Linked DNA regions of Coturnix japonica. The protein of the gene in region 3 purifies or fractionates together with the protein of the main gene of each other region. This does not show direct contact. Links are inferred from orthologs where the notes say so. Each region holds a gene or a part of one and is shown on either strand. Other genes may lie near its edges. The genes, in order: SLC9A3R1, USP1, PHLPP2 and USP46.

Evidence for each region.
Region 1: the proteins of PHLPP2 (region 3) and SLC9A3R1 purify together in Homo sapiens (co-immunoprecipitation; 3 studies listed by BioGRID and IntAct, with this or other methods). This does not show direct contact. The link is inferred for Coturnix japonica from reciprocal best matches to the Homo sapiens genes PHLPP2 and NHERF1.
Region 2: the proteins of PHLPP2 (region 3) and USP1 purify together in Homo sapiens (affinity purification with mass spectrometry; 3 studies listed by BioGRID and IntAct, with this or other methods). This does not show direct contact. The link is inferred for Coturnix japonica from reciprocal best matches to the Homo sapiens genes PHLPP2 and USP1.
Region 4: the proteins of PHLPP2 (region 3) and USP46 purify together in Homo sapiens (affinity purification with mass spectrometry; 4 studies listed by BioGRID and IntAct, counting the BioPlex papers as one, with this or other methods). This does not show direct contact. The link is inferred for Coturnix japonica from reciprocal best matches to the Homo sapiens genes PHLPP2 and USP46.

Annotation. Positions count from the first base shown.
Region 1 is NC_029533.1:9,151,839-9,154,123, forward strand, and holds the end of SLC9A3R1 (Na(+)/H(+) exchange regulatory cofactor NHE-RF1), read left to right. Parts: intron 1-134; coding exon 135-175; intron 176-650; coding exon 651-746; intron 747-822; coding exon 823-987; 3' UTR 988-1,776; downstream 1,777-2,285. UniProt on the Homo sapiens protein: Scaffold protein that connects plasma membrane proteins with members of the ezrin/moesin/radixin family and thereby helps to link them to the actin cytoskeleton and to regulate their surface expression. Necessary for recycling of internalized ADRB2.
Region 2 is NC_029523.1:24,710,923-24,715,189, reverse strand, and holds the start of USP1 (ubiquitin carboxyl-terminal hydrolase 1), read right to left. Parts: upstream 2,865-4,267; 5' UTR 2,730-2,864; intron 2,455-2,729; 5' UTR 2,427-2,454; coding exon 2,257-2,426; intron 1,408-2,256; coding exon 1,284-1,407; intron 940-1,283; coding exon 832-939; intron 374-831; coding exon 213-373; intron 1-212. UniProt on the Homo sapiens protein: Negative regulator of DNA damage repair which specifically deubiquitinates monoubiquitinated FANCD2. Also involved in PCNA-mediated translesion synthesis (TLS) by deubiquitinating monoubiquitinated PCNA.
Region 3 is NC_029526.1:17,694,552-17,698,116, reverse strand, and holds part of PHLPP2 (PH domain leucine-rich repeat-containing protein phosphatase 2), read right to left. Parts: intron 3,336-3,565; exon of another isoform or gene 3,250-3,335; intron 2,660-3,249; coding exon 2,526-2,659; intron 1,895-2,525; exon of another isoform or gene 1,841-1,894; coding exon 1,650-1,840; exon of another isoform or gene 1,622-1,649; intron 1,289-1,621; exon of another isoform or gene 1,218-1,288; coding exon 1,092-1,217; exon of another isoform or gene 1,077-1,091; intron 977-1,076; exon of another isoform or gene 690-976; intron 50-689; coding exon 1-49. UniProt on the Homo sapiens protein: Protein phosphatase involved in regulation of Akt and PKC signaling.
Region 4 is NC_029519.1:59,548,423-59,552,420, reverse strand, and holds the start of USP46 (ubiquitin carboxyl-terminal hydrolase 46), read right to left. Parts: upstream 2,838-3,998; 5' UTR 2,402-2,837; coding exon of another isoform or gene 2,366-2,401; intron 1,494-2,365; 5' UTR 1,453-1,493; coding exon 1,372-1,452; intron 1-1,371. UniProt on the Homo sapiens protein: Deubiquitinating enzyme that plays a role in behavior, possibly by regulating GABA action. May act by mediating the deubiquitination of GAD1/GAD67.

The DNA.
Region 1 (2,285 bases), on a different chromosome or scaffold from region 3:
TGGCCCCCTCCCTGCCCTGATGGTGGCAGGATGCAGCCCACGTTGGCTGCCCCGGAGCTGTTGTGCCCACGGGCACCGATGGTCACAGCCCTGGTGTGTGCCTGTCCCCACCTGACGCCGTGTCCTCTCTGCAGGTCCCTTGCCTGAGCCCATTGCCAATGGTGATATAGAGAAGGTGAGATAAATTCCTTTTTGTCCTTTCTAAATCCCACCTATGCTGGTCTGTAGGCATGGAGCCCCTGGGTTTGGATGTCCCTCCTTCCTTTGTCTGTGGGTGGTTGGGTGACCCACGGGCTGCCAGGGTCGAGGCTCCCACACTGTCACACGAGAGCAGGTGCCACTGGGAAGGGGAGTGGGAAGCAGTGGCCCCCAGGAAGCAGATCACTTATAGGCTCTGTCCTTATGATGCTGTGGCTGGGAAGGAGCCCTCGTGCTTCAGGGAAGCAGCACCCCATTCCACAGCCCTCCTCCTGCTGCTGCAGCTGGGAAGTCAGGTTTAATCCTCCCAGCCTTGCATGGGCAGTGCAGGAGGTGTTTATTAGCACGGAGCTCTCAGCGGATTACGTGCAGGGAGGAAGGATGAGGGATGGCAGCAGCCCCAGGGGTGGCTTCCAAACCTCAGCTTCTCTCTCCTGCTCTGCTTCCTGCAGGAAAATGGTGGAGAGCCACGGCTGAACTCGGTGTCAGAGAGACCCCCCAGCCCTGCACTGGCTGCATCCCCTGAAGGCAGCGAGACCCACAGCGAGGTAGGGGCGGAAAGAATGACTGAGGGGGGGGTGGGCAAAGTCCCCACATGGAGGCTGAGCTCCTCTCTCTCCGCAGCCCGATTTGCAAGAAGGGGACAAGCGCAGCTCAGCGCCCAGCTCCCTGCTGGACCTCGACATCCCGCTGGCCGTGGCCAAGGAGCGTGCGCACCAGAAGCGCACCAGCAAACGGGCTCCACAGATGGACTGGAGCAAGAAGAACGAACTGTTCAGCAACCTGTGAATCCGCCCCGGGGCAGGGACACCGGCCCCATCCCCTTCATCCCCACCACCCTGATGGGGAGGACGGGGCTCGGGGTCGCTGAGCATCCCTGATGAGGATGGTGACGGTGCCCTGGGTGCTCCTCCAGCCCCGGTGTGAAGCTTTGTGCGCCCGGCTGTGTGCAGAGCTCTGGGGAGGTTTGGTCACTCAGAGTGGCCGGGTTTGGTGCCCCACGCTTCTCATCCCCTCTGCCAGCTCTCGTTCTCCCATCCCAAAGCCCACCTCTGTTTCAGCCCCCCCAGATCATCTCCCCTTCTAGAGGCTCTCGGTGATTCTCACCATGCCCTACACCGCAGCAGTTCCTCCTGGGGTTGGCACTCTTAACCTTGCAGTGTCCGTCCACAATGACCCCATCCCTTCGTTCCTGTGCCCACAGAGCTGCTCTCAGAGGCACTTGGGCGTCCTACAGCCTCTGCCCCAGGGTTGTTTTGGGAGAGGAGAGGTGTCTGGAGCCAGCACAGCAAGCAATAATAAGCAATAATCACCCCCGGTGCTGCTGCTTGCTCCCAGAGACAGAGCCGGTCAGGGCTTGTGTCCTACACTGCTTAGTTTAAAGGGTTCTCTGTAGACTCTCTTCTTTCTCCAAAATGAGAGTTTTTCCAATCACACAGTTTATTTCTTTTTTTAATGTATTTTGTGGAAAATTCTTCCTGTGGATGTTTTGTTTCTGTGTTTTGCAATCAGGTGTCGTGTTGTCAAGATGAAGATAAATTCTGTTTACTGGAATAAATCTTCCTGACTTCACATGTCCAGCTGGAGGCCAAATCCTTGCGGAGCCGTGGATCCCAGGGCATGGTGCTGGGGGGGGCCTGGGGGCAGGGGCTGCAGGGCAGGGCAGCATCCCTTGTGAAGGTGGCTGTGCACGCTGGGCCCTGTCTATGGGCAGACACCTTAGAGTCTGAGTTTGTTCGAATGTCTCCCTGGAGCAATTAAGCCATGGTGAGCTGATACAGGATTCGGTTTGGAGCTGGGATGGACTAATGGAGAAGGCTGGGCTGGTCCCAGTGTGAGTTAATGCCTTGGGACGATTAAAGGGCTTTAATCCCGCGGGGGGGGGTGGGGGGAGCCGTTCCAGTCTACTGTGTGCCTGCTCTAATCTGCCCATCCGTAGGGACTTGTAGGGACGTGGCTGCCAGCTGGGCTGGAGGGAGGCAGCGTTGCTAGGGGCTGCCCCAACCCCAAACAGCCACCACTGCTCCACTGGGGTGTGGGGTGAGCCTGAGTGCCTGGGCTGCCTTCTCAGAGCAGCGGGCTGGAGG
Region 2 (4,267 bases), on a different chromosome or scaffold from region 3:
AATCTAAATTTACTTCTAATCCATAGAAGCAGCAACAAACACAAACCTCCCCCTGTGAAATGCAGGAGAACCTCCTTTGTATAATCGCGTAACAATGCCCCAAAATCTACAATTATCTACTCCCTTCCCCCACAGTTCCCTCCTGCTCTACTGTACAGTTATAACTATGCCAAAACTTTAGGTGAAAATGTGGTGTTTAAGATAATTTGTACCTAAGGGTGTTGAGCAGCCTTCGTGGCTGAGTAGCGAGTTCATCGGTGTATTTCTCTGGGTTCAAAAGAAAGCTGGCTTGAAGCTGTTCAACAGAAAGAATCAACGAGTGCAAACTGCAGATCAGTTCATAACTCGCCAGTGGATCTTCTTTACAGTTTCCCTGCAATGAGAATGAAGATAGTTGCAGCTTTGTCTGTAACAAGCAGTTATGAGTAGCCCCTATGTAATTATCCAACAAATTGGAAAGATTTATTTTTTCCCCACAAGGGGAAACAGGTGAGTTTAAGTCAATTCATTGCTCATTCGACAGCAGAAAAGAAACATGAAAGCCCCAGTATGAACGTTAGAAGCCCAAACTATCTTTGCCCACAGACATAAGGTACGCTAAGTTTAACTGAAATTCAACCAGCTCAGCCTTGTGCTTACAAGTTCACAAAGGCTCTGAACACTCCTGTTTGAACACAAGTCCAAAACCACTCAAACCTGCTTTCACCCAGAATAGTACAGAAAACAACACTGCCCAACTTCTTAAGAGCAGAAGAAAACAGTTCCACTTTGAGAACCTTCCTGGCACACACCCTCACCTGCACCGTTACAAGGTGTACTGAGATGTATTACCTTTTCTGCTTTTAGCTCTCCTTCATCCTTCAACGATTCTTTCTTCTTTGAAATGATATTATATAAATGTTTGATTCCCGTTTTAAAACCAGGACAAAAATATAATACCTAAAAGCAACAGCAGAAAACAAGACAATAGTTGGTCAACCCAGTTATTCAACATTACCTCTCTATGCTTAGGACCCAGCCAGCTCTGCATCTCCCAAGGCCGCTGCTGGGATTACTCACAGCAGGGAGGTGGCCCAAGTATGTAAACTGACAGATGACTCAATCACAGCAATCTATGGTGCACACACTTCCTGTGGTATCACTTTTCTTCCCCTCACTGTAATTAGATTCCCCTGATACAACATCCGGACGTCTCCTCTATAATGGCAGACTAGGAAACCCAGCCACTTGCACTAGAACAGTACAATGTGATTTTTTTTTGAGGCCCCTGAATGTGATCTTACCTGAAGAACGCTGTTAAGGTAACAGGTGTTGCCAAGATTATTCAAGCCCACAAAGGGTAACATGTTGTCCTTCTTCTCACAGCTGACAAGTGAGGGAGGCTGTGCTGCAGGAACAACCTGGTCACTGTCAAACAGAGAAAACAAGCATAAGAAACCTGCCTGATATGCACACACAGCTCTCCAAGCCTCTACCGTATAGGTAGCGGAAGATAAGGAGACAGCTTACAGAATTAATGATTAACACACAGATGAAAACTGTGTCATGGTGTTTCCGAGTCTCCTTGGAGCTCCTCTAACAACCTGCAGGCAGCCTGACAGGCTTCCAGCACGTATTACTACTGCATGCACTTCCAATGCCTGTCCTGCAGAACAGCCCACAGGCCAGACTGAACGACTCAGCTGAGTTCTCTTTCAACTACTTTAATACGCTCTTCATTCATTCCTAAGACAGCACCAAGAAAAAGGATCCGCTGCTTATTTTCTATTGCTCCAGATCCACACGGCTTCATTACAGGATGCACAACAAGAGGATAAACAGCTGAATAACCAAACCAACGACCCTACGCCAACACAGCAGAGCCTTAAAGCCTTAAAGTCTTCACCACCACATATTGCTGTGATCGGGTCATTTCTCCTCTGCCTGGTGGGACTCAGCCCTGGCTGTGCTGCACTGAGCCCACAGGTGCTGAGGGCTGGGAACACAGTGTGGCAGCAGGAGCGGGACCGCTGCTTCCAGCCGTGATATCCTTACACTAAGAGCACGCTGAGAGCAGCCTAAAGGCCCGATATCCCTTCACTAAGAGCACGAACCGCATTGTGAACACGCTTTAACCAACTCAGCGGCGCAACCGGACCGAAACGAGACAACTCTGTCCCAGCACCACAACTTTGTGCCCCGGGACGCTCAAAACACCGCAACCTCGGCCGGGAAAGAGGGAAACGGCAGCGGGCACAGCCGGGCACCCGTACTTACATGTCATCGGCGCGGAGCTCGGCGCCCTTGTGCTCATGTTCCGTGTGCTCGGTGAAATCCAGCGCTCTTTTGGCCTCTTTCTTCTGGAAGAGTTTCAGCGACAGCCGGTTCTTCCTGCAGGGGCTGCCCCGCTGCGGCGCGCTGCCGTCACTCGGGAGCACCCCCGGCATCTCCGGGCGGGCGGCGAGGGGCGAACACCTGCCATATACACACATAATAAACACACATAACAAACACACACGGCGTCACGGCCGCCTCACACCGCCCCGCTCACGGCCTGGCCTCTCCTCAGCTCTCCCCTCCTTTCCTCTCCTCAGCTCTCCTCTCTTCAGCTCTCTCCTCCTTTCCTCTCCTCAGCTCTCCTCTCCTCTCCTCCCGCCGCCCCGCTCCCTCCCCGCCCTCTCGCGGTCCCTCAGTCCCTCATCCCCCCTCCCGTTGCCGTTCTCTCCCCGTAGCCGTGCCCGTTCTCTCACCGCTACATGGCGCCGCCGTTTCCCCGCTCCCCGCCCGCTCTGGGGCCGCTCGCTCCGACACGGGAAACTTGGCGCGTTTTCCGCGCCGCCAGGACCCGCGCCCGCAGCCCTCCTCGCGCCCAAGCGACCGCGGCTGCCTCGCTCAAACGCCGGAGCGGAAGGCGGGGACGACGCCGGCCGGGATCGAATTGCCATGGTGGCGAGCTGCAGCCCTCCTCGGGACGGCTAGAGCGAGTCGAGAGAGACCTCGGAGCGGGCTCAATCGGCGGCACCGGCACCAAGAGTCCGCCGCTTCCGTCAGGCAACGCGCCGGGGAGCCCTCAGGGTCCTCGCAGTGCGCGCGCGGGCGCCGCTAACGGCGCGACCAAGGACCCGGGGCTGGAGAGGGGGAGGGGCGGGAAGGGGCGGGACCAACCACCGCGCCGAGATCACACCGCGGCAGCGGATTGGTCCGCGCGTAGCCCCGCCTCCTTCCGCCTCCGCCAATCACAGCGGGCCGTTTGAACGGCTCAGGATAACGGCCGTTGCGGGGTGGGACGGGTCAGTCTCTCCTCAGAGCTCGGTCGCGCCGCTGGGGGTCGGTGTCAGCTCCGCTACCACACGGAGCAGCAGCAGTCCCGGGGCTTGTTTCACCCCCACAGCTCCCTGCCAACCCTCCCATATTGGCTCGCTGTCATGAGTTAATGCAGGGAAGTCCTTCCAGCGGGACGGTGCCGGAATGGATCCGTTTAAATGCCACAAAATGGCTTTTCCTTTCCGTATCAATCCAGAAATAGAGCAACAGCTCATGAAATATTGATGGCTGCTCAGCAGGCTCAATAAAGGAGCTGTTTGTCCACAGCCTGTGCGGCTCCGGCCTCTCACAGTAAAAGGAATGTTTCAAACACGGCTGCAGGTGTGAGGGGTGGCTGCAAACACAGCCCTGAGATGCTCAAATGCACCGAGTTAAACGATGTGTAATTGTACGGGCTTTGCAGCCACATGTCATAGAAACGGCTGCAGTGGGAAAGCAGAAATATCTGCAGGCTGAACCAAAAATAACCCTGTGAAATGCCTGGAAAGAGGAGATTCCCAGGAGGTGGATGTGGGGGAAGTCTCCGTTACAGAGCAGTGTCCCCTGCAGGGATGAAGCCCCACAGCTCTGCTTGTTGATGTGAGTTATGAGTTAGAGCTACTCACAAAGCACAGAGCTGTAGCAGCATCAGGCCCATCCATCTGCACAGTGCACAGCCAGAACTGCCCTGTGAATTTAGTGAACATTGGTGAGTTGTGAGCAGACAATGTGCTCTTTCAGCACTGCCCCACTCCTGGGGTCACCTCAGTGCAGTAACACCAACCTGACCCAGCCCTGAAGAGCTTGTGCTGGCCAGACTGATTTCATTCTATCAGAACACTTGGTCAAACAGCTTATGGCAGGAAGTGTAAGAAACCATTCACAAACATGAGAATACTGAATATAAAGTGTGAAGACAAGTCTGTCTGTTGGTAGGAGTGGTATAGATGAACATTTAGAGTGATCCTGCCTCCATTCACAACCA
Region 3 (3,565 bases):
CAAGGCTGTAGCATGAAAGATCAACCATGCTAAGTCGCATAGACACAACCTGAAAGGAAGGAGTAAGAGTTGTAGCTGTGCAACAATTCTTATATGGAAGTCTAATGGAAAACCAAAGACTGCAAGTAGTAAACAATCCACAAAATGAAGAGTCCCTGTATACCCACCACACACAGGTAGAGTTCAAGCAGGAAACCAAGTCCAGGGAGTATTATGGCATTTGCTACTCCATGACAAAGCGACAGAAAAAGCTGTATCTCTGGATAAGGAATGTGCTGAGAAAGTAGTCTGAGTGCCTCCCAAGGTTGCAGACAGCAAAATGAAGCAGCTGACACTGCAGTTCTGCTCTGTATACTATACAGAGCCTCTCTTTGGCCAACCTATTACTTTTGATTTTCTTCTGTGTGCTTGTTCAGGCTATAATATCAGAAATATTAAAGATGAAAAAAACTTCACATGTTTTTGTGACATTTCATAGTCTCTGTAAATATCATGTCTCCTTTAATTAAGTACACTTTGTCTCAAGGTCTTACTTGCTTCATTTAAGCATTTATTACCAACTTCAACCTGCACCGTATTTCATGTTATATATTTGAGGTCAAAGAGCAGTTCAGTGTTGAGCTATTACCAGCTAATTGTACTTTAATGTGGAATAAGGAAGCAGCTCTGAACAAACTATGCTTACCTTGCTGACCTACGATCCCTTGCTTTACTGAACTCAAATATAACAGGGTACCTCTGAGTCAGTCTAGGCCACAGGTCACAGGCGAATGGCAGCAGGAGCAATTAACAGATTTCTACGGCTGTAAATTGTTCTAGTGAGCTGTGATTAGCTACTCTCAGTAGGGTGGGGGTGAAAAGAACACAGAACTGCTACTCAACAATGCTGTACAGCCAGTGCCCCAGGAGAAAGCTCAAATAAAGATTCTGTAATCCCGAGCATGTAAGAAATGAAGAAAGCTGGAAAGCATCCCAGGTACTTTCTCCAGCATCACAGTTTAAATCGCTGCCTGCAGACCCAGCCTGTACAATAAATCCCTTCATTTCCTTGGTACCCACCACCCCAACTGCTGCAGTCTCCAGGGCCTCACCGTGGATGCCTGTCGGTGCCACCGCTGACACTCTGCCAGTGTTTCAAAGGAGACATGGTATGTCTGGGCTTGTGCTCCAGCAGATGTGAAAGCAAGAGTGTACTGCCGACGTTTCATTTCTTCAACCTGCAAAGGGAGGGATGAAAACAAAACAGTCTACCTAAATTCCAGCAATTACAATGGATCTGAAATCTAGGGTAAGATATTAAAATCGATAATGCAGTATTTCGAACAAAACTCTGTTATAAGGTTATTTGAGACAAATGTAGTGTAGTAAATCCTTCTTAACATCTTTCTGCTGAAGTAGATCCTTTAAGTAATGATCTCCAGGATGCCTATTCACACTGGCTACTACTGTGAAAACAGAAGTAGTGTCTCTTCCAGCATTTTATTAGCCTTAAGACCACTTAAGAAAAGTAAGTAGGAAATAATCATGCAATTCTCCCTGAGTCTGTTGATACAGCAACACAGCCTAGATTAACCTCTTGTGGATAATACACATCATTATAACCCCCCTTCTTCTTTTTTAGGTTACAGAAAGCTTAAAAAAAGTTTTACCTTCCCTCCGACAAGAGGCAAGATGTGCATCTTCCCTGTGTGGCTGTCTTTAACAGAGGACACGATGAGACAGGTGCCACAGAGAATCACTAAGCGTTCCGCCCATTTGTGCAACTGAGTCTTCCCCTTGCGCACATTATAGATTCCAGAGAGCAGGATGCGATCTAACTGTTCCATCTGACAGGGCTTTTCTGAAGAAAAAAATGAATATTTCTGCTTACTCTCCATTTGTTCTTCATTTTCAGGTAAGAGCACAAATAGCAGCACAGCTGTAACATGCAATATCAGTTACTGCAAGCAACACGTTAAGACGAAACACTGAGTAGCACATAAAATAAAGATCTCACACAGAAGACAAGCGATGTACCTGGGGCAGAAGTGTCTGACAAACCACCACTGTACGACTTTCGGTAAAGTATTACCACAATTGCCATGTAGTGCATTTTTAATCTTCAAGTAATTACAGATTGCGGCACTTGCCGAGCATCTGTCTTTCAGATGCAGTAGAAAGGCAATTACAAACTTACTGACCATTACCTTCAGGCAGGTTGTGTGAAATGCCTTATCTAGACTGAACTGCAGAACGTTTCTGATCTCATTTGGACTTCTAAGGCATTTGTCATAACACGAAACAGAGCAATCACATGTTGTGCCATTGAGCTGTCTTCTCCCCAGACACAAATAGGGTCAAGAGAACTACGAAACTGCCATTCCTACGATTTTGAAAACTCTTTTAAGAAATGCTCGCTGATATTGCGTGTATGATTTAGCCATCTATAAAGCCAACCGGTCAATGACTTGTGCTTCACCTGAGCTCCACCAGATATTTAAAACTACGGGTACAGTGAGAGCGTACATGCACACACAGATTCTTACCGCTGTAAAAGCGAATCATACAGCTGAGGTCAGAGTTTGCTGCCTCCTCCTGCACTCTGACAGGGTCATCAAAACCCAACCCAGCCAAGTAGTCATACACAATCTGAAGGGGCTTTTCAGTGGGTTCCAGCCTCCTAGCAAAACATACAAGAAAGCAGTTTGACAACTTGAAAAAGATGAAACATGTCTCATTGCAACAAAGTGCAAGGGATACCGACACCGATACTGCTCTAAAAAGGTCTGGCAAACACATACCCCTGGGTTGGTGCTTTATGCTAAAAAATCAGTTAAAAAATGCAGCATCTGAAGAACTTTACTGCAGAAGGGAAATGGAGAGGAAAAAACTTAAGCCATGCAATCCATGGTTTCCTTTATATGACTTAAAGAACATCAAGAGGAAACAATGACAAGAAACAATATCCGAAATACTGCACAAGAAGCAGACTCACAATAATTTTAAAAATCTGTTTTTATTGACCTAAAAATTTAGAACTCTACTTAAATTTCTTAAAAAAAAAAAAAAAAAAAAAAAAAAGTTTGCTGATGTTACAATTCCTGCATTTAAGTTTGAGCCCATTGCCTCCTTTCCTGCCGGCCCAAACACAGGCTGCTCTCAGTCTTTTTCAGCACCTCCCCGGGGGATCCAGAGGCTTAAGAGAGGCAAGCAGTTCTGTAAATATGTGACTTGAGGTCTAAGTTATCACTTCTTTTTTTCACCCTACAGAAGGAGCAGTGAACACCACACAGAACATTAGGAAGAGATTTCCAGTGTGTTACTGTAAATGACAAATCTGTGTGGCTGTTACCTAGAACAGCCAAGCTGTTAGAAAGTGGAATAAATAACAGATTGCACCAAACAGTGCAGACTTCCAATACAGCAAATCCTGATGCAGTCTATAACCTTCAGAGCAGAATTCAAGAGGAATGGGAGAGACGTGCCTGGATCTTCAAACACCTGGCCTGAGCCTCCTGCGATTACATTAAGACTCTAATACTTGTGTTACTGAAGCCTTGTGCTTGACGGAAAATAGCATTGTCAG
Region 4 (3,998 bases), on a different chromosome or scaffold from region 3:
CTGTGCTCAGGCAGTATACAGCCCTACGGATGACCTCCCACCATCTGCAAGGCAGTAAGAGGAACTTTCTGGGAGCCGGATCTCCATCTTTGCCACCAGTTCCTTCATGTAGAGAGTTGTTCATCACCCTCTAGCCCCAGAGGAAGTAATTTTACCTCCTTGGCTTTGTTAACCAAGCCAGCGAATAACTAATGCTACTATAATTGTAAATGGGAGAGGGGGGTGGCAAACTGGGGAAAAACAACAAAGTAATTTTAAGTCTAGAAGTTGCGCATTTCAATATATGCCATTAATACGCATGCCAAGTGGAATGGATAAACCTGTTTTTCTTACTGGTTAGTTCTGACCGTGTTTCCCTCAGCATATGGGAGTTCATCCATGAATACATAGTGCTGGATCTCCTTTGCAAGCAAGTTGAAAACTGTCCCTGGCTTTCTTTGCTTCACTACACTTGCTTTGCCTACTTCTTAGCCACAGACTGTGAGTGGCTCAGTTCTTCAAGCACCATGTTATATCGCAGGAAAAAGACTGGGGAATATAGGTCTCTGGTAGATTTCCACAGATACCTTCTGTCAGTCTAGAACTGCAATAATAGTTTATACAAACAAAAGGTTTGCTTGTGTAACTCTCAAGTCCTATTCTTACAGAGAGATGTCCCAGCTCTTCTTACAGTCCACTACTTTATCTAAGTGGGCTCATCTTTAGAGGAGCCATAATGCAGAGTTACTGGTATCTCCAGTAGTTTATGTTTAGCTTCAAGGCCCAGATTCCTGTAAGCTTCTGAAAAGCCCAGCATTTGTATCCTACAATGAATTAATAATCCCATGGGTTATGAAGAGAAGACTGAATGTCACCAGTATAACACAACGTCTCTATAAGCTTTAAAGCATTATTACTGTTAAATCAACTTCACCCTCAGTTTCAGCATTGATACTGCGAGCCAGAATTGTCTTGAACTATGAGCTCTTGTGTGAGACTTCAGTTCTTCCATTTCTGACATGCCACTTTTGCAGGATCTAATGGTAGCAGCTGAGCAGCACACCTTTAGAATAAACCCAGCAATTTTGCTCTATCTGTGCAGGTTTGGGGAGAAGCAGACTGTATGCAAGCACATGCTTGAAGCACATGAAAGAAATCACGGAGCTCCTAGGATTTAAGCCAGTGCTAAAGCCTTACAATCATCTAACAGCCTCCAGCTCCCCTTCATGCAGTGCTTTGTTGCAGTATCCCTGACCCCCAGGACTGGAAGGTATTAAGAGCGGTGAAAAGCTGCCATTGCCACAGAAGGGGGAGCAGCTCACACCCCACGCTCCCTCCCCAGCCCTGCTGACCCGCGGGAGTCGGGCCTCTGGGCTGTGCCCGCTGCCTTACCCCGGAGGCAGGCTCCGTTCTCCAGGGCAGCTGAAAGGTATGTGTGGCATTGCCAGCACAAGGCATGCTGGGGCACCACATGGAGGGAAGCTGGCAACTGTGTGGAGCTGCTCTTGAAGAACCTGGAAATAAGGGGGAAAAATACAGACTAAACCAACAAAATGTGCAGCAATTGGCTTCTCTTCTGTTTGCACTGGTGTGCTTAGCACTCACTCATGTCTTTGGCAAGCGTACTGCCATCTCAGTGCACTTCCACTGATGTACTTTAAGCTCTCCCCCACCATGAAGTTTTAGAAATCCAAACCAAATCAGCTGCTCTGAGTCAGTAGAGTCAGGACTGCAAACAGATATAGGCACAGTGAAGAAATGGTCTTTTCAACTATTCCTGGGCTGGGAATGGCAAAGCTTGAACACAGCAAGCAAACATATTAATATTTCCTTATTTCTTCCTCATTACACAGTGTGAGTTAGAGAAAGTCAAGTGCTTTGAGAGTCAGCTGTAAGCAGCAATCTTCTCTGAATGGCACCCAGCAGGAGAAAATCCCTGACAGCAACCGAAGCTGAGACTTCCTATGGGAGCCCCCAGTCTCGGGACCAAAGCCTCTTACACCGGTTCCGTGCATTCCCCAGGGGCTGCTGGCCGCGTGAGCCTCAGGGTGCCTGCCTGGAGGGATTTATTGGGCTCACTGAGCCGGGTACGCACTCGGAGCCTAACTCCGGGGTTCCTCGGCAGCGTTCTTAGGGCAGGAAGAGGAAGGGCGAAAAGGAGGAAGGACAGGCGGCCGCGGCTCCGTCTTCAACGTGAGACGGTCGGCGCCCGCCCCGCTCCCGTCGGTGCCTCCGTCCGTCCCCGGGACGATCCTCCGGGCCTCGGCTGCTTCCCGGCTGAGCCTGCCCGGCTCCCCGCCTCCGCTTCCTCCTCCTCCCGGCGCCCCCGGGCAGCCCCCGCCGGCCCCAGCAGGCCTGCCGTACCGCCCCGCCCGCCGGCACTCACCATATTACAGATGGAGGCGATGTTTCTGACAGTCATTAGTCTAAAGGTTGCAGCGATCCCACACCGCCATCTTTACGAGGTGAAAACGGCCCCGCTCATGGTGGGAAGAGCGCAGGAAGGCAGAGGGGGCGACGGCGGCTCCGACTCGGGGCTGGGATGAGCGGGAGGAAGGCCTGCCCGCGCCCCGCGGCGCAGCGGGGAGGAAGGAGCTCGCCGCCCTCCTTCCTCCTCCTCCCACGGGCGAGTGACCGGCAGCTTTAGCGGCGCGGCTGGAGCAGCCGCATCTCCGCTCCTCCCGCCCCTGCCTTCTGCACGGGCCGCAGGGCCCTGGGCTCCTGCCGGAGCGCTCAGCCGCGCCTCTGCGCCAGCCGGCCCAGCGTTAATCCCTGCCTTCCTCCTCCTCCTCCTCCTGCTGCTCCTCCTCACCCGACGGCTGCAGCTCCATCGCGGCGCGGCACCGGGCCGGACAGTGAGCGGCACCCGGCACCGCTGCGGCCAACGCGACTCGGGGAGGGGCGCGGGGTGCCCTGCGGAGGCAGTGCGGGGCGCCGCGATGCCCCTGGGGCGGCCGCCGAACTCGGGTTAAAGGGCACGAGAGATGCCATTTGAAGGCAGGAGGGACAACGAGGCGGAGAGCAGGCAGGCAGGGCGACGCAGCTTGTGACAGTGACAGCACCACTGTGCTTTGGGATGTGCTCTTCACACCCAGCTTGAAGGACTATTCTATGTGCTTTGTGGTCGCTGCCACTCAGTCACAAATTTACAGGACGTTCATTTACACAACACTGCTAACGCAGTAAGCTCAGTTCATCTTCATACACTGCAATAAACGAAGGCCCGTGCCATCCTCCAGGGTGTGAGGGCATTAAAAGATACTAGCGCCTTAAATCTGTACTTGTGGTGAGGCACAAGGATGTTATCTTGTGGCCATGTGACAAATCTCATGGAGAAACAAAGATGGAGTTCACCTACCATCATCTCTCCTATGAGAAAAGGTTGAGGGAACTGGGGTTGTTTAGCTTTGAGAAGAGCAGGGTCCAGGGAGACTTCCTTGTGACCTTCCTGTACTTCAAGGGACCATATAAATAGGAGGGGGAACAGCTGTTTACAAGGGTGGGTAGTGATAGGACAAGGGGGAATGGTCTTAAACTGAGACAGGGGAGGTTTAGGTTAGATATTTGGGGGAATATTTTCACACAGAGGGTGGTGACACACTGGAACAGGTTGCCCAAGGTGGCTGTGGATGCCCCATAGCTGAATGGCTGGATGTGGCTCTGGGCAGCCTGGTCTGGTGGCTGGCAACCCTGCATACAGCAAGGGGGTTGAAAATAGCTGATCACTGTGGTCCTTTTCAACCCAGGCCATTCTATGATTCCATGATTCTAGGATATGGCCTCAGCATCCCTTTCCTTAGCAAATATCTCTGGTTCCAGCAGAAACTTCAAGCCCCTGTGTTGTTCCTTCCCTACACATAAGAGATCCTTAAGAGAGGAAGCTGGTGACATCTTGGTTAGCACCTGGAAACATGGCAGCTCCCTCTTGGCTACACTGTCCAGTTCACATTGCTACAAGGTAATAATTTCAGCCTGCAGAGCCGGGCTCCACAGGTATTACCTACAGGGAACATTCTAAA